Linked DNA regions of Mus musculus: region 1 is reported to be linked to region 2. The links are microRNA targets in miRTarBase. Many come from high-throughput screens and were not tested one by one. Region 2 holds a microRNA gene; the other region holds the end of a gene's coding sequence.
Evidence for each region. Region 2 holds the annotated microRNA mmu-miR-713 (UGCACUGAAGGCACACAGC, at 2,788-2,806, shown strand). A microRNA usually pairs through its seed, bases 2 to 8, with sites in the 3' UTR of a target mRNA and lowers its output. Matches are read on the target gene's strand: a 7mer-m8 pairs with bases 2 to 8, a 7mer-A1 pairs with bases 2 to 7 and ends in A, and an 8mer does both.

Region 1 (8,126 bases), not on the chromosome of region 2:
AAGATAAAATATAGATTTAGAAAGTGTTCACTGAAGAGTACGGATGGAAGTGTATGCTAGCTGAAGGGAGGTTTGCAAATGCCTGGCCACTGAACTAGTCAAGGCATATTAAAATTAAGCTGACCCGAGTCTGTGTATGTGTGTGTGTGTGTGTTGTGGTGTATGGTGTGTGTGTGTTCTAATTGTGTGTGTGTCTGTCTGTCTGTCTGCCTGCCTGTCTGTCTCTCTGTCTCTCTCTGTCTCTCTGTCTTTCATTCGCAAATCCAGAAAATTCTGGCAGGTGACAAGAAGTGTGATCACACGTTCTGACCCCACTCCCAGAAGGGAGATCAAGGTAGATTATTCACTGCTACACATAAGAATCATCCCACCAAGAACACTTTTAGAACAGTTGACATAATAGGTATTATTTCACTGTGGGTGCTTATCTAGGAACTTTCATACTACTGTCAAGATGAAGCAGGATGATGTCTTTCTATTTTTAATTATCTCTTTCTATCTGTATTATTTTTCTTGACTTTGTGTCCCTATGGAACTATAGAATTCCAGGACTTACTGTACAATGTAGTTATTTTTACATGCTGAGACAAACTGTGAATTTAAAATCATACTAGCTAGTGTAAAGATCTGTTTCCACTAATTTGAACTTCAAAAATTTGTACAATTAAACTATTTGCATCTGCACTTTGATTTTCTCCATCTCTGTCTCTATTTCTGCTGTCTTTATTTCTGTCTGTCTCTGTATGTGTACGTGTACATGTATATATATACATATATATATATGTATATATACACATACATATATATATACATACATATATATATATATATAAAGGAAGAATCCCCAGTGTCCTTCTTTACCAATTTCTACCTATTCACTGGAGACAGAGCTTCTCACTGAAGCTGGAGCTAGGCAGGTAGACAGAAAATCGAGTGATTTTATTTTTGTCTCTGTCACACTTCCTGCACAGAACTGAGGTTATAGGTGAGCGCATTACCATGGCCATATTTTTTATATAGATGTTGGAGTCTGAATTAGGGCCTTTTTGCTTGCACAGCAAGTGTTCTTATCCACTGAGCATAACCTCAGCTCAATAACTTCCACTATCCAAGGAATGATGATATATGTGCAAACATGACAGATTTTTGTCATATAAAACAAATTCCCAGTGTTATTAGTAATGGTGATAATTATAGTAAAGTAATCAAAGATATGTGTAAAAGTCATGGAAACAATATGGCTTTGCATTAGAAATAAGAATTAAAGTCATGGAGGCATAAATTAAAAATTGTGATACATACAATTTAATAGGGTTTTTGACTTCTTAAAATATCTTTGTTATTCAAGCTTCTTCATCATTAAAATAAAGTAATATAACCATACTCAGTGTTCATATGACAAGCAGAAATTATATAGAGTAGTGCTTAGACATGCATCCAGTATATAAATGATGAAAAGGTTCTATTATAATTGTTAAAGAAGAGATTAATCTAATCTAAAAAATTATGTCTTAGAATTGAGATGGGTAATTATTTTTCTATTTTATGACCTTACTTTTTAAATTGTGTTTTAGAATATTACTCTAGAATGATTATTTCCATCATAATTTTATAAGTAGTTATCTACTTTCCTATTACCCCACTTGCATTTTTCAATGTAGCATATGGTTTATGTGTCTTAATCATCTTTATACCCCCAAATTCTAGGAAATATCTGTGAAATAAGTTAATGCTGATTTCATTTTGTCTTTATAAGTAAAATACATAACTACTTGGATTTTTTCTTTAATCATTGGTATATATTTATTATACAGCATATTGGTATATATTTATTGTACACATTACAAATTTTATAATGTACTCATTATAAAATTTTCATACTTGTATAACTTTTTCTTTGCTTATACTGATGCAACCCCAAACTACCCACAATATTGTCTTTCCTGCTACATTCTAGAATGCGTTAAAAAAAAAACAAATAGTTCCTCCTGAAAATGTGCATGTATACACTTATATGTATATATAATATAGAAAAACGTGATTTTTAGTGTGACCTATTGCATTCATCATCATGAATTATAAATACATTAGTTTTCTTGCAAATGACATAATTTAATTCTTCTTTATGGCTGAACAAACCTCCACCATGTATACATGCCATGGTTTCTCTATCCATTTGTCTGTGGATAGACATCTGGGGTGTCTCCACAACCTAGTTGTTGTGAGTAGCACTGTAATAAACAGATGTTCAGGGAACTCAAATAGTATATTGACACAGATTTTAGGGGGTATATGCTCTGCAAAAGCTGCTACCGCTACTACTTATGAGCCAGATCATACAGTAGTTGTCATTAAGAAAGAATAAAATATTTTAAAAATTAAACTGAAATTAATCAATTATTGTGTATATTGCTAAATATTTCTTTTTAAACATTTCAACATTTGTTTTCTAGTTAATGAAAAGATAATACTAGATTTTTAAAAGGTGATAAATTTTTAGTTTATTTTGTTTTATTTTGAGGTTCCATGATCACCACATTATTTTTAGTATAATTTCAGCATCAGACAGTTAACTCAGCACCCATTATGAAATGCCATTAAAGTTAGGATTATTGGCCTAACATAATAGAAATCACCTTTCCTGTGAAATTGAAAGTATCTCTCATTAAAACAGTCTACTTTCATCCTAGTACAGCAATATCTACCTGTAATCCAGACACTGCTCTGAGACTGGAAAGCCAACAAAATCCAGCAGTAGGAACCAGTTTATGCAACATATAGAACACTGATTTAGAAAACAAACTTTTTACTTCTATACATTTACTTTTAATTTTCTAAAAAAAAAAAAGACTAAGAAAGTAAAAATAATTTTAGTAAAGCAAATTTATTAAGAACTATATTTCACTAAATATTCACACTCAACATTTTATTTACCTATGGGACAAACAGGATGCAGAGCTGTTTAATTAAAGAGAATGCATATATTTTAAAATAGGCAAAAGGAAAGTGAAAGTGATTACTATGAATTTTTAAGATATTTTTTGAGGAGACATATTCAATTGTGATCCCAAATTTGGCAACTAAATAATTAAGGTAAGTCTCGAGTCTACTAGTTTAAATGGCTAATAATCAATTCACAATCAATCAGATCTAGTGACTGAAGAAAGTTCTACATGAGTTTTGATTCCAACCCACATATTGTTCGTTCAATTACATTTTATAAATATTTTATTATTTTTTGAAAATTTGATATAATGTAAATCTGCCCTCCACTTCTCCATGTGACTCTCCGCAGATCCACCCCCACCTCACTGCCTCCTCAGCTTCATGCTTTTATTCTTTTTTAAATGTAATAGCTCAGTCATTATAAGGCATGGTGTACCTATACTACTGGGCTTGAATCCTTCTACCAGAACATGATAACTCTACCAGGACTCGAATAGAAAACTGAGTGTCCCTCAAACAGAAGCCATCACTGCCCATAGGGCATCAGATGGGGATTGAGGCTAAGAAATCTCTTCACACTCCATCCTAGAATGCTGCCATATAAAAAAACAATAAGAGGCCCCAAATAATAAATTTGAAGCATATAAAACTTAAATAGAACATGAAAATTACTAAAGTTGTTCATATGTAGTTTGCAACAGCTAAATAATGTTAAGGCTTTTGTGGTATTAATAGCTTGTTTATAATTTATATTCTATTGTATAAACTGACAAACTCTACTCATAAATGAAAGCTTATATAAATGCTGAACATCAATGATTTATGCTTGCTGTCAGCCTCATAAGGACACTAGTTAAAATGACTTGTATCGATCACAGGTTAATCTCTACAGATAGAGAATTGCATGTTTGATTTGATAAAAATATATGAATACTAAAATTAATTTTAAAAGCCTAGAGGAAGAAGAAAGGGGGAAAATATTGCCACTTATTTATTTCTTAACAGAATGATGTAGCAACAGGACAATTTCAGAAAAAAGTGAAGCAATTTATAAAAGCTTCACAATAAGCAAGACTGAAATATACAAAGTTAATGAGAATTTAATGAAACTTTCAGATATATTGAAATAGTCATAATATAATTTTGTTACCATAATGAGAATATATAATCAAAGAGATGGTAACTTTTATCAAAGGTGTGACTGCTATACAAATACATACCTTGAACCGCTAGAGAAAAAAACAATATTCTATGATGACATGAAGTGGCAAAGGAGGGAATTGTATTGTGATAAAGGGAAACACTGAGTTTATAAAGACCCTTGTCAGCTGTAATGAACATTTGTTGGGTAGATTTATATATACATGCTAGGTAGCAGAGTACAAGAAAATGCTTGCATTGCATATACAAGGCACTGGGTTGATGTCCAGTACTAGAAAAAAAAATTAGTTTAGAAAACTAAAAATTTGCTTCCTAAAATTTTACTAAACTAAAAACTAAAACTTAAATTTTACTTTCACTAAAGTAAAAATTTACTGGGCTGGCGAGATGGCTCAGCGGGTAAGAGCACTGACTGTTCTTCCAGAGGTCCTGAGTTCAAATCCCAGCAACCACATGGTGGCTCACAACCATCTGTAATGAGATCTGACACCCTCTTCTGGTGTGTCTGAAGACAGCTACAGTGTACTTATGTATAATAATAAATAAATCTTTTTAAAAAGAAAAGAAAAAATTAATTTACAGTAAAAATTTACATTCACAGCAAATTTTGGTGACTCAACAGGTGTGAAGGTCTCAAAGATGACCCATGTGCCCCTGACACTATCACACTAGAATCTGATTCAGATAGTTTCCCATCGCTGTTCCCATTCCTTTGGCTCTTGGGCTTGATGATTTCAGATTGCAGTCAAGCCGACTTGAAGCTTCAGATGTTACTGAGTCATCTGTTTTGATTAATTTTCTGGCTATGGTAAACTTCAGGTAATAATCTCTAGTAATAACCCACTCCTTCCAGGAGCCACTATCCTATTAGGCAGAGCATTCCCATCTCTTGCCTGATATTTTTCCACCAGTCACAGAAGGTAGATAAGGTAACTTAAATGACAATTAATAAAAGCTGGCAGATGTTCTCCTCTGTTACTAATTTAGTAATTATTCGTCTTTCCTAATCATTAATGAAATAATTTCATAAATTAATGAATCATTTCTATCAATCCAAGATTTTCAAAATTGTTTGAATCAGTTAACACACACATACACACAAACACACGAGAGAGAGAGAGAGAGAGAATATTTTTCTTGGAAATTCACAATGAAGTAAGGAAAACAAAAATGTGCCTCAAGTTTAAATAATTAAGACACATTCATAAAAACCAGCTCAATTAGTTGTAAGAGGAAATTTTATTTAGCTATTAGTAAGTTATTATTTATATATATATATATATTTTAGCAAATCCCAGTCATTTCTTAGAAACTAGGACTTAGGAAAAAACATGGGTCTGAAAAAAAGCCAAACAGCTATGGTCTATGTTTTATACTAGTTTAAATTTGTAGAAACACCAACAAATAGGTCGAGTGAGGTAAAACCTTTCAGTCCCACTCTGTTTCCTAGGATGTTCACAGATGGCTCTGATACAGCAAGCTGTGGTAGTCGTCTTTGTCCATGAGGAGTGGCTGCCTTTCCTCCTGGGGTTGCTTCTTCTTCTTCTTCTTCTGAAGGCATAGCCTACTGCTAAGCCCAGAGAGAGCTGCAGCAATAACAGCTCCCACCAGTGCTGCCCCAAGAAGCCATGGCCAGATACGACTGGCTTGTTCCAAGTAAGGCTCAATATAATTTCTGTAAAAGCCTGGATCTGAAATAGAAAGAGATCAAGCTGTTTTCACAGATATCACCAGCACCATCAGCAGCATTTTAGCATGCTACTTAGGAGTAAGAGGCTTGGGTTGTAATGCCAGCTGTTTTGCTTAATAAAAAGAAAATCTTGGGGGAAAATTAACCTCTTCCTTCTCAAGCACCCTTTCCTCCCTAGGAAGAAAAGAAAATAATTCTCTGCTTTTGGGATCTTTTGAAACTTGAATATAACCCTTGATGTGCAATATTGTTAGGTACTATTGTTACAATTCCTTTTGATGATTATGTAATTATACTGCTGATCTATGAAACATAGTTATATTATTAACTGTTGATGATCTGTTGATAATTTAAATTATTTGAGTAACACTGACTATACTGCTAGAAGAAACTTTGTAGTCTCAGAGCATTCTCAAGAACACTACGACATTTGTACACTCTCTGTTCTTGCAGAGATCTGTGCGTGTGTGTGTGTGTGTGTGTGTGTGTGTGTGTGTGTGTGTGTACATTGACATGTGCATGTACATGCAGAATGCACCAAGGTAAAAAAGAGGGTGAATGTACCCCCGGAGCTAAAGCTACAAGTAGTTACAAGCTGCCCATGTTGGTACTGAGATTTGAACTTCTTTCCTCTGTAAGAAAAGCAAACTCTTAACTGTTGAGATATGTCTCCAGTACTAAAATTTTCAGTCTTAAGACAATAGATTTTAGCCAAGAATATTTTAAAAATAATTTCAAGTAAGGAAAACGTGTAGCCTTTGACCATCTATAATTACTTCAAACCACATAAGAAATTACAACTGGGTTGAACAATTATGAGTTCTGCCACCCATAAATAAATTTCTACCTCCGAATCTTCTAGTACAGATAGTCTAACATACATATTTTGAAAAGAATGTACTTTTGATATTCCCCTGTACTTTTCCTAAAATTGTTCCTAGAGTCAAATTTCACCTTTAGTTTCATGTGTTTCTTATAAGCATTTTTCCACTTTTTCTATTTAGTCCAAGAAACCCTAAACATCTAAATGCTGTAAGTATAACATTTCTTCTACTATTACACCAACACATTGTATTAGAGTTACTAATTATATGTTTATGTTCTATATTATACTGACTCCTTGAAAACCCAAACTGTGGTGTGTAGAGATAATATCTTCGGTACTGTGTGGAAGCATCACTTGACAATAAATATCTAATGGCCAATAAGCTGAGGAATGATTACAAAGTGGGACACCCGGCAGAGAGAGATGAACTCTGGGAACTAGGCAATGCAGGATAGGAAGTTGAATGAGGTAACCAGCCATGTGGCAAACATAGAATAGTATAAACAGGATAACTGAGTTACAGGCTAGTCAGAGAAGCTTAGTTTAAGGTCCAGGCATTTATTAATATAATAATAAGCCTCCAAGTCATTTTTTGGGAACTGGGGTATGGGTGGAATGCTGGTGGATACAATGAAGTAATCCTGAAATTTGGTAGAGTGCCTGAATCCCATGAGAAAAGTAAATGTTTACTCCATGACTGAATGTATTATTACACTCCAAAAAGGTAATGAAGAAACATTAGGCCAATTGGGAGAGATATTCAATAGATAGCAATGGAAAACAAATTATAAATTAGCCAGTATCTACTATGTTTTGAGGTAAAACTTAGAGTTTATTTTTAAAATCAGGTATTGGTCATGATGTATTTTATATATATTAAAATAAAAATATGGAGCATTGGCTCTCAGAGAAAAAATATAAGAAATCACTATATCAGACAGATTCAGTGTAGAAAAATAACAAAAAATTCAAAATGTGTCTTTAAGTGACAGTCCCATATTGAAATGGTACAAATAAAATAGGTTTGTAAGAGAAGTAAACTCATTTATACATGAAGACACCTGAGATAGACTTGATGAATAAAAAGATATTGCTATTTACATATTATTTGGAAACATGGAATAATTTTTAAAAATTTAGCTACACAAGTTATGGTAGCCGACTTGGGGCACTAACCTGGTGAAAGCATAAACATGGAAAGTGAAGTCATTGTTTTGGTATTTGGAAAAATCTAGCCTTTAAAATTACACATATCGTTATTTGACAAAATGAAATTAAGAAACATGGTGAATGACATGATTTACATCTGAGAATAAAATGTAAGCAGATACAAAATATAGACAAACATAAGCAGAGTGCATTATTTTCCAGCACTAAAAGAAACTATAGCTTAAAAAATACATAAATATATTATAAAAATAGTACCTGGATTTTAAAACATACCTAAAGTAAAAAATAAATAGTATGGTGAGACATGAATTATCAGATGATATATATTGAAGT
Region 2 (8,126 bases):
AGAGGTGAACCTCCAGTATGGTAGAAGGTACTGAGAAGAACCCTCCTATTCTCCTGATTGGCCTGCCCCGGTGCCGAGATTGGCCAGTGATTCTTGAGTGACATAAGCATGCTCCTTAGGGTTGGAGTGTGCTGAAGGCACACATACACCTTCAATGCTCAGGATTCTAGTTCAGGAACTTTGAAAGTAGTGTAGTCACAGCCCAGAAAGGACAGGACAAAAAGAAGTAGATAACTTTGCTGCTTTGACAGTATGTAATATTAAGAATGAACAGCGGGGCTGGTGAGATGGCTCAGTGGGTAAGAGCACCCGACTGTTCTTCCGAAGGTCAGCAGTTCAAATCCCAGCAACCACATGGTGGCTCACAACCATCCGTAATGAGATCTGACTCCCTCTTCTGGAGTGTCTGAGGACAGCTACAGTGTACTTACATATAATAAATAAATAAATAAATAAGTCTTTAAAAAAAAAAAAAAAGAATGAACAGCGAGGGATGGCGAGATGGCTTAGCAGGTAAGAGCACGGACTGTTCTTCTGAAGGTCCTGAGTTCAAATCCCAGCAACCACATGGTGGCTCACAACCACCAGTAATGAGATCTGATGCCCTCTTCTGGTGTGTCTGAAGTCAGCTACAGTGTACTTATGTATAATAATAAATAAATCTTAAAAAAAAAAAAAAGAATGAACAGTGAGGCAATCAATTTTAGACCATTGACAAGAGTCTGACTGGCCCATTTTTTGGGTCCACACACCAGGCAATCAAGAATCTGAATAAAAATTTGAACTTACTATGAAACCAAAATACTACATGAGTCCTACCAAATACATTGTATTACCAAATCTAGGTAATACAATGTGGCCCATCGACTCAGGGGGGGGGGGGGATGGAGGAAGAATTATGGGGAGGGGGTGACTGGGAGGAAGGCAGTGAGCACGCCGTAATTTGAATAAAGAGAAATCGATTTATTAAAAAGCAGGGGAGTGCTTTTATAGTCAAGCTCAAGGCCTATGTACATAGCATATGCTTACAAAAGTGGAATCTTTTTCAGTTAGTAACTTAGTTCACTATCACACAGTTAACAGAACATATCAGGAATGTTGGAATCCATTTCTAATGTGGAAATCACAAAACTATAAATAAAGAACAAGTCACAAAGACAAACAAACAAACAAACAAAGAAGGTGACTTTTAACAAGGAATCTAATTTTAACCTTAATATTAATTTGTAAAAGACAGAAAAACTGGAGTCTGCAAGCCTATCACAAATACAATTTTGATTATTTCCTGTGTTTGAGACAGGGTCTGATACAGACACCCAGCTACTTTGACTCACTAATCACACTACAATATATCATACATATTAAAAGTATAATAGAAAACAGGATGTATGTGCCTTTGAGCAAATATTCCTAGCATCAGAATCTTCTATAGAAGAGAGGGTTGATAAGCCATTGGGCGTTGGTCTGGTTATTGGTAAAGGAGAGTGATCTTGAAAAATTGCAGGCCATTCCCTGGCAGAGATAATGACATAAGAAGATAAAGTTAAGCCAAGTGGTGGTGCAAGCCTTTAATCCCAGCACTTGGGAGGAAGAGGCAGGCGGGTTTCTGAGTTCGAGGACAACCTGGTCTACATATTTAGTTCCAGGATAGTCAGGGCTATACAGAGGAACCCTGTCTCAAAAAAAAAAACCCCAAAAAGATAAAAATTTAAAAACCCCCAAAAAGAAGATATAGTTTGATCTCACCCCACGTGCAATGTCAGCTGCTGAGAGATGCAACCTAACACACAGCTTCTCAACACTCTGAGCTGAAGTAACTGTGCAAGTGGATTGGACATATCTGCAAAGGAGTCCCCTCTACTTGGAAATTCAACATACATTGGACCAAACTAACCTCCTAAAAGGGTATGAATTTGTATATGAATTTATGTGATTTTATCCAAATGTGCTTCTGTGAGGGTGACTCTCTTCTCCTGGTTTAAGAGAAGTTTATTGCTCCAAACTTCCCCCAAGCTTAGCAAGCAAGAGGCATCTGGACAAGAGGGAAAGGCTCTAGCAATGACTCCTTTACTTAATCACCCACTCCCTTTCCTTAGAGAACTTTCATAGGAAACTTTTTAGAAGAACTTGGAAATAAAGATTAAAGACATGTTTAAAAGTGTCCCGCCTTTCTTCCTGTGACTTCAACTAGCAGGATGGAAGTTAGAGCAGCCCAGTTTCTGTGGAGATAGAACAAAAGCTACTCACTTAATCCCCTGTCTTTTTAAGAGGAGGCTCTAAATACCAGAGATTGCAGCGTCCAGCCTTGCCTCAGAGGAACTCGGGCAGGTCAGCTTCGGCTGCAACGCGACTGAGACTTAAGATAGGCAAATGTCTTAATACTAAACAGCAACCCTAAACATCCCTGAAAACCAAGTCTTGTCACCTCAAACACTCTTTCCCCCTCCGCTGCCTGAAGAGGAACCAAGAACAGTCAGGGCTGGTCCCCTGTATCCCATCACCCGGACTCCAGCTGCTTAACTCCCTGCTCCTTCCGGTTAAGGGCAGTGGTCACACGCTCACCATGTCGCCACGTTGTAGATCGCTGGCAATTCCCTAAGGCCCCTGTCAGCAGACATCAAAACACATCACACCAATTTTTCAGCCTGCTCGCAACGGAGCGGAACGCAGAGCAGGGGAACAAGGCACACTAAAGAACACGCCTCTACTTCTATTGGCGGGCCTATCCGGAGGCCCTGATTGGTTAGTGAGACTTGATTGACATGAGCACCTCCCTTAGGGTTAGAGTGCACTGAAGGCACACAGCATAGGGCTTCCAAGATCGGGTTTCTTATCCAGGAGCTGACCCTTTTCAGATCTGCAAGACTTTCTTTCAGTCCTGTCCTCCAATAGTCTATCTTTCTGTCATCCAGAACTCAGCAGGAATTTCTTCTTCTTGCTCCTCCAAGGCCGCCCCCGGTTCTCCTACTCCTCGCTCTGCCCCCTCCTCCAACAAGGAATTAAGAGCCACACCTTGCAGAGTACATTATTCAACTTGACAAAGAGTGAACTATAGGTTCCAAGGATATTTACAATTAAAGAGAGATTTTAGGACACAAAATGTGATGTTTGCTTCTCTCATTTTACACTGACATCAGGAAAACCGCAGCTGATATGCAATTGCTACATATGAGACTCCAGACAGCCCTGGGAAAAAAGGAGGGGATGGATGCCACTCACTAAGGAGCATTATTGTTCGCCAGCACATCTTCCTACTTGGGAAGGTGAAAAAACATGTCTGTATTAGTAAAGGTTTTCCAGATGAACAGAATTCAGAGCATGGATCTCTCTAAGTATGCAGGAAGTGGATAGATAAGAATGGCTCACAGAATGTGGCCCCACTAGTAAATCAATGACTGTATCAATGGAGAGTTGAAGAAAACAGTTGTGTCTATAGGTCTCAGCTGGTGTTCACCACGTAATAGAATTCCACAGATGGAGCCTTAATGTCAGAAAAATAAAAAGACCTTGCAAGCCAGTATGTGGGAAGAAGAGAAAGAGAAAGAACTACCATCTTCAATATCCTTTATATATTTAGGCTCACAGCAGAACTTCTGGCCTTGATTAATTTTTTTCATCTCAATCTAAACTTGCAGATTAAAGAAGGGTTTTCTCATGTTTATTGGTGAAAATAATAAAAACCCCTCAAAGTGCCCATCTGTTTGGTTTTAGGTAACTGAACTCCTGTAAGTACAGTTATTTGAAATAATTACATTGGTGGCAACAACAGTTGACAGGAAGTTCAGTTTTTATCCAGATTATTTCTTATTAGATTTATATATTTATTTTTTATGTATATGAGTACACTGTAGCTGTACAGATGGTTGTGAGCATTCATGTGGCTGTGGAGAATTGAATTTTTCAGACCTCTGCTTCACTCTGGTCAGTCCCACTCACTTAGTCCCTGCTTGCTCTGGCCCAAAGGATTTATTTATTATTATTATACATAATTACACTGTAGCTGACTTCAGACACTCCAGATCTCATTATGGATATTTGTGAGCCACCATGTGGTTGCTGGGATTTGAACTCAGGACCTTGGGAAGAGCAGTCAGTGTTCTTACCCGCTGAGCCTTCTCCCCAGCCCCTTTATCCAGATTATTAATTGCCTGGTCTGCAGACCAGAGTAATGGCCAATCAAGGTGATTATCAAGATGGAAAATTGGTGACCTTACTACTCAATGCTAATGTCAAGTACAGCCATACCAGAAAAATGTTCACCTTCAAAGCCTAGCCTAGAAGAGATGCAGGACTGTCTTCCCATCATGTGGCTTTAGAGAAAGGATTAGATGTTCAAGGCAATTCTGAATTACATGGCATGAGCCAGCCTGGGCTTCGGGAGACCTTGTCCTAAGCAGCACTTGTAAAAGAAATGGAAAGAAATTCTTACGCCTGAGAAACATCACAGAATGGATACAAGTAAGAGATCAGAGCAGTGCTGCATTTAAAGCAAACCAATAATTGACTTTTTACAAACATAAATATTATTGAAAAAACACATAGCCATTCTGACTTTGTAAAAGAATAGTCCTTTTCCTGGTAGAAGGAATACCATCTTTCAAATACTGTTTGACCTTGCCTCTATGTGGATTGTTGCCTGCTGAGACCTGTAACTTGACACACTCAACTACAGCCAATGAAGTCCTGTGTTTTAAATTTCTGAGCTGACTTAATTATGTCAATGAGGATTGCACATATCTCATAGGACAGTAGTAACCTAACTGCAATTTGAGTATTCACCGGCTTAACTGACATCACAAATCATACACCCACCGATCTAGTCTGCTTTCATTTACCCAACATGAATTAAGACATGCTGCAAAATTATGAAATTACCTCCATGCCAGCATCGGGCACTTTTCATTATGGCAACTCTAGCAGCTGATTACCCACCCTGTTTCCCCCATTAGTGTACACAATAAACTTCTTCCTATTCTGGTCAGAATGCAGACGCTATGCCCCTCATGCAAATGCTTTTCCTCTTGACTGAGTAAACAGTTGATTACATGACTCAAATGCATAATTTTAAAACACAGTGGTGGTACAGATGTTAACTTAAGAATTTAGTTGGAACTGGGCGTGGTGGCGTTCACCTTTAATCCCAGCATTCAGGAGGCAGAGGCAGGCAGATTTCTGAGTTCTAGGCCAGCCTGGTCTACAGAGTGAGTTCCAGGACAGCCAGAGCTACACAGAGAAACCCTGTCTCGAAAAAACAAAACAAAACAAAAATGAATTTAGTTGGGTTAAACAACAGGATTGCAATGTTACTGCCCTGAGACATAACAGAGTGGAATGAGAGCTACATGACTCACCAGAAGAAACCTTGTCTCAGAAATAATTTTCTGAAAGGCTGGAGGTGTAACAGGTAGAATTAGCATCCTTTCATAGGAAAAGATCACGCATTCATCTTTGACTGATGCCCAAAGAAGAGCCAGCCTAGAACAGAATTTTTAGTTCCCAATATGCTGTTGTACCTAAGTCTCTCTTAGGTTTGGGCCACAGCTATAGTTTGAACAATAGTCACTGAGGCAGATGGAGATTTACAGAGTAAATCTATCTTTTAGTCCATAATGTATGATCTAAAAGTAAATTTAAAAGATGTATCAATGCCACAACTCTCCATATACAATGGACAGAGAACACAAATACAGAAAATATCAAGGAAACATCACCTAACAGCACTGTGGTTACCGTTCTTACGTGAGCAGGTGTGCTGAGCTAGTCTAACCTCAGAATAAGGCTGCTTTTTTACTCAGCAACTTGGTTCAGAGGAAAGGCACAGGTGCATCTCTGTAGGACCAGAAAGAAGTGCATCCTGAATGCTGTGTGTCTCAAGGCTGTGTCATCTCTGTAGAAGATTCCACATTTTATACGTTATTTTTATTTTATATATGTGAGTCTTTTGCTGGGTCCTGTCTGTGTGCATTACCTACAGTGGTCAGAAGAGGGCATCATATCCCTCTGGATTGCAGTTACAGCAATTGAATTACAGCCTTGAGGTTTTTTGGAATGAAATCTGCATTACCTGGAACAACATCCAATGCTCATGACTATATCTGTGTTTATTATATTTTCCTTGTAAAATAAATTTTATGCATTTAAATTAGAACATAATACAACACTTCACGTAACTTTTACCTTTTTACATTTTTCTAATATATATTCCCAATAATGTCAAATGAGGTGGGAGATTTGGTAAAAACATGCTTGCCTAGTGAGCTAACTTCATTTCCTTAACTGTATGCAAAATACCTATTTGCAAGCTTGAATGTACAACTAAACTGCTAGATGCTCAGAAATCTTTGTCTATGCCGGTTTACACAGATAGTCTACCTTTCTCTTGAGCTCACCTTAACCCAGGAGGGCTCCTTTGCTCTCTTTCTTCAAATCCTGCCTCATCTGTGTCCTGCTATTTCTTAGTACTCTGCTTCCACAATGCTATTCTAAGCCAAGAGATAGAGATAGAGTACAAAGAGAGTGCCCACCAGGAGAAAGCTCAAATGTCTTATTGCTACAAAACCAGGCTCTATCTCCCTTACTACATCCTTGGCAGGCTGCAGCAGGTCAGCTCCAGGGGGAGGTAATGGTGGGAGGACCGGGGTCAAGTCTGTAGGGAGCTAAAACTTCTCACCTTTACAGAAGAGCATCTCAATGCCATCCAAGGTGACTTTGCCCCAAGTCATTCAGCAAAGACCTCAAGACCCCTCCCAAGTAACTTGCCTTAAACTGGGCAGGCTCTTTCCATTCCTTAGCATTCTCTTGTATTGAGGCTTTGGCTTTCAGAGGCACACCCAAAATACACCTTTCCAAGACACACTTAGCTGCATTTGAAAAGGCAGTATCTTCCTAAGTTTGGATATTTCAATACAAATTAGGTTTTCTATTAACCATATTCAAATATCCTTCAACAATTTATCCCCTTACTTCTCCCCTCTCCATCCTAAATCTTCCCTGCCAATTTCTTCCTTGTTACATACATGTGTGACTATGAAGACTCAAATACATAAATAAAACTTGCTGACTGCATTTTTATTGGTTATGTGTATGATTCAAGGACTGACTGACTTGCATTGATTAGCCAAATAGGGAACTCATTGCCTGGGGCTAATTCTCCTACTTAAGAGTTCCCCTCTTTAATAAGCAATAGAATTTGGGGAGCACAAATGACAGATTAGGATGAAAACAAGATAAGCCCTCTTCTCTGTGAAGTAGATAAAGTACCTACCTCGAATCCAAAGCTACAGGTGGATTATTTTATTTACCGAGTGAGCTTTTTGCTATTTGTGGTGGCAAACCTCTCCTACCTTAGATATAGAGGTAGCTGTCACCCAAATTCCCCACAATGATTATCCTATAATTTTTGCCTACTCCTCTGAAAGACTTCCAGGTACTGGAAAAGAAGTATTCAACATAGGAGTAAAGGGCAACATTCCCATTTAAACACATTATCTTGCGTCAACTCTCATAGAGTGAATCCTGCCTCTTACTCTACCACAGTCTTCCATGATCTTCAATGAGACTGTTATGATTCCAACATACAATGCTAAGAATAAACAATATTATTCCACAAAGAGTCAAAGCATATCAACGATGGAACAGACCAAAGAAAGACCTAATCCAGCAGGAAAATATGAAATCATGAAGTTCATTGTTCAGCTTCTTCAGATAATGATGAAATTGCCTGACTACAATATACTTAGGCATCCCTAGTCTTCCACCTCTGTCTCTGAAGCACACATGGCTTCACTTTTAGGCCGATTCCACGACTTGCTTGTAGCTCTTTTCAAAAATTCTCTTATTGTCACAAATACCTTGTGTATGGTATTATATTTTACTTTATTGAAATTGGGTTAGTGAGGAAGGAGAGATCTTTCAGTTGTTACGAGCACTGACTGTAGAAGCAGGCATGGCATTTACATGGCAGCTCACTATGATCTAGAACTATGTTTAGTTCCACAAAAACATATGGTCCAAATTGTTACATATGAGGCGTCAGCTGGTATTTTCTGGGGTATTTCCATAAATGAGACCTTTTCTGCATGTCTTTCCTATAGATTCTAAAATGAATGGCATAAAAATATACCTCT

Region 1: miRTarBase lists Tyr as a target of mmu-miR-713. Seed matches in the 3' UTR shown: 7mer-m8 at 4,513-4,519.

Annotation. Positions count from the first base shown.
Region 1 is chr7:87,423,487-87,431,612 of GRCm38, forward strand. Tyr (tyrosinase) reads right to left here. Exons shown (of 5, transcript NM_011661.5): 5 at 1,285-5,798. The coding sequence ends at 5,563. Among named protein-coding and RNA genes, the nearest start is that of Tyr, 66 kb to the right of the region's middle.
Region 2 is chr13:62,758,020-62,766,145 of GRCm38, forward strand. It overlaps Mir713 (microRNA 713), which reads left to right and starts at 2,720; the gene lies at 2,720-2,827. It also overlaps Platr25.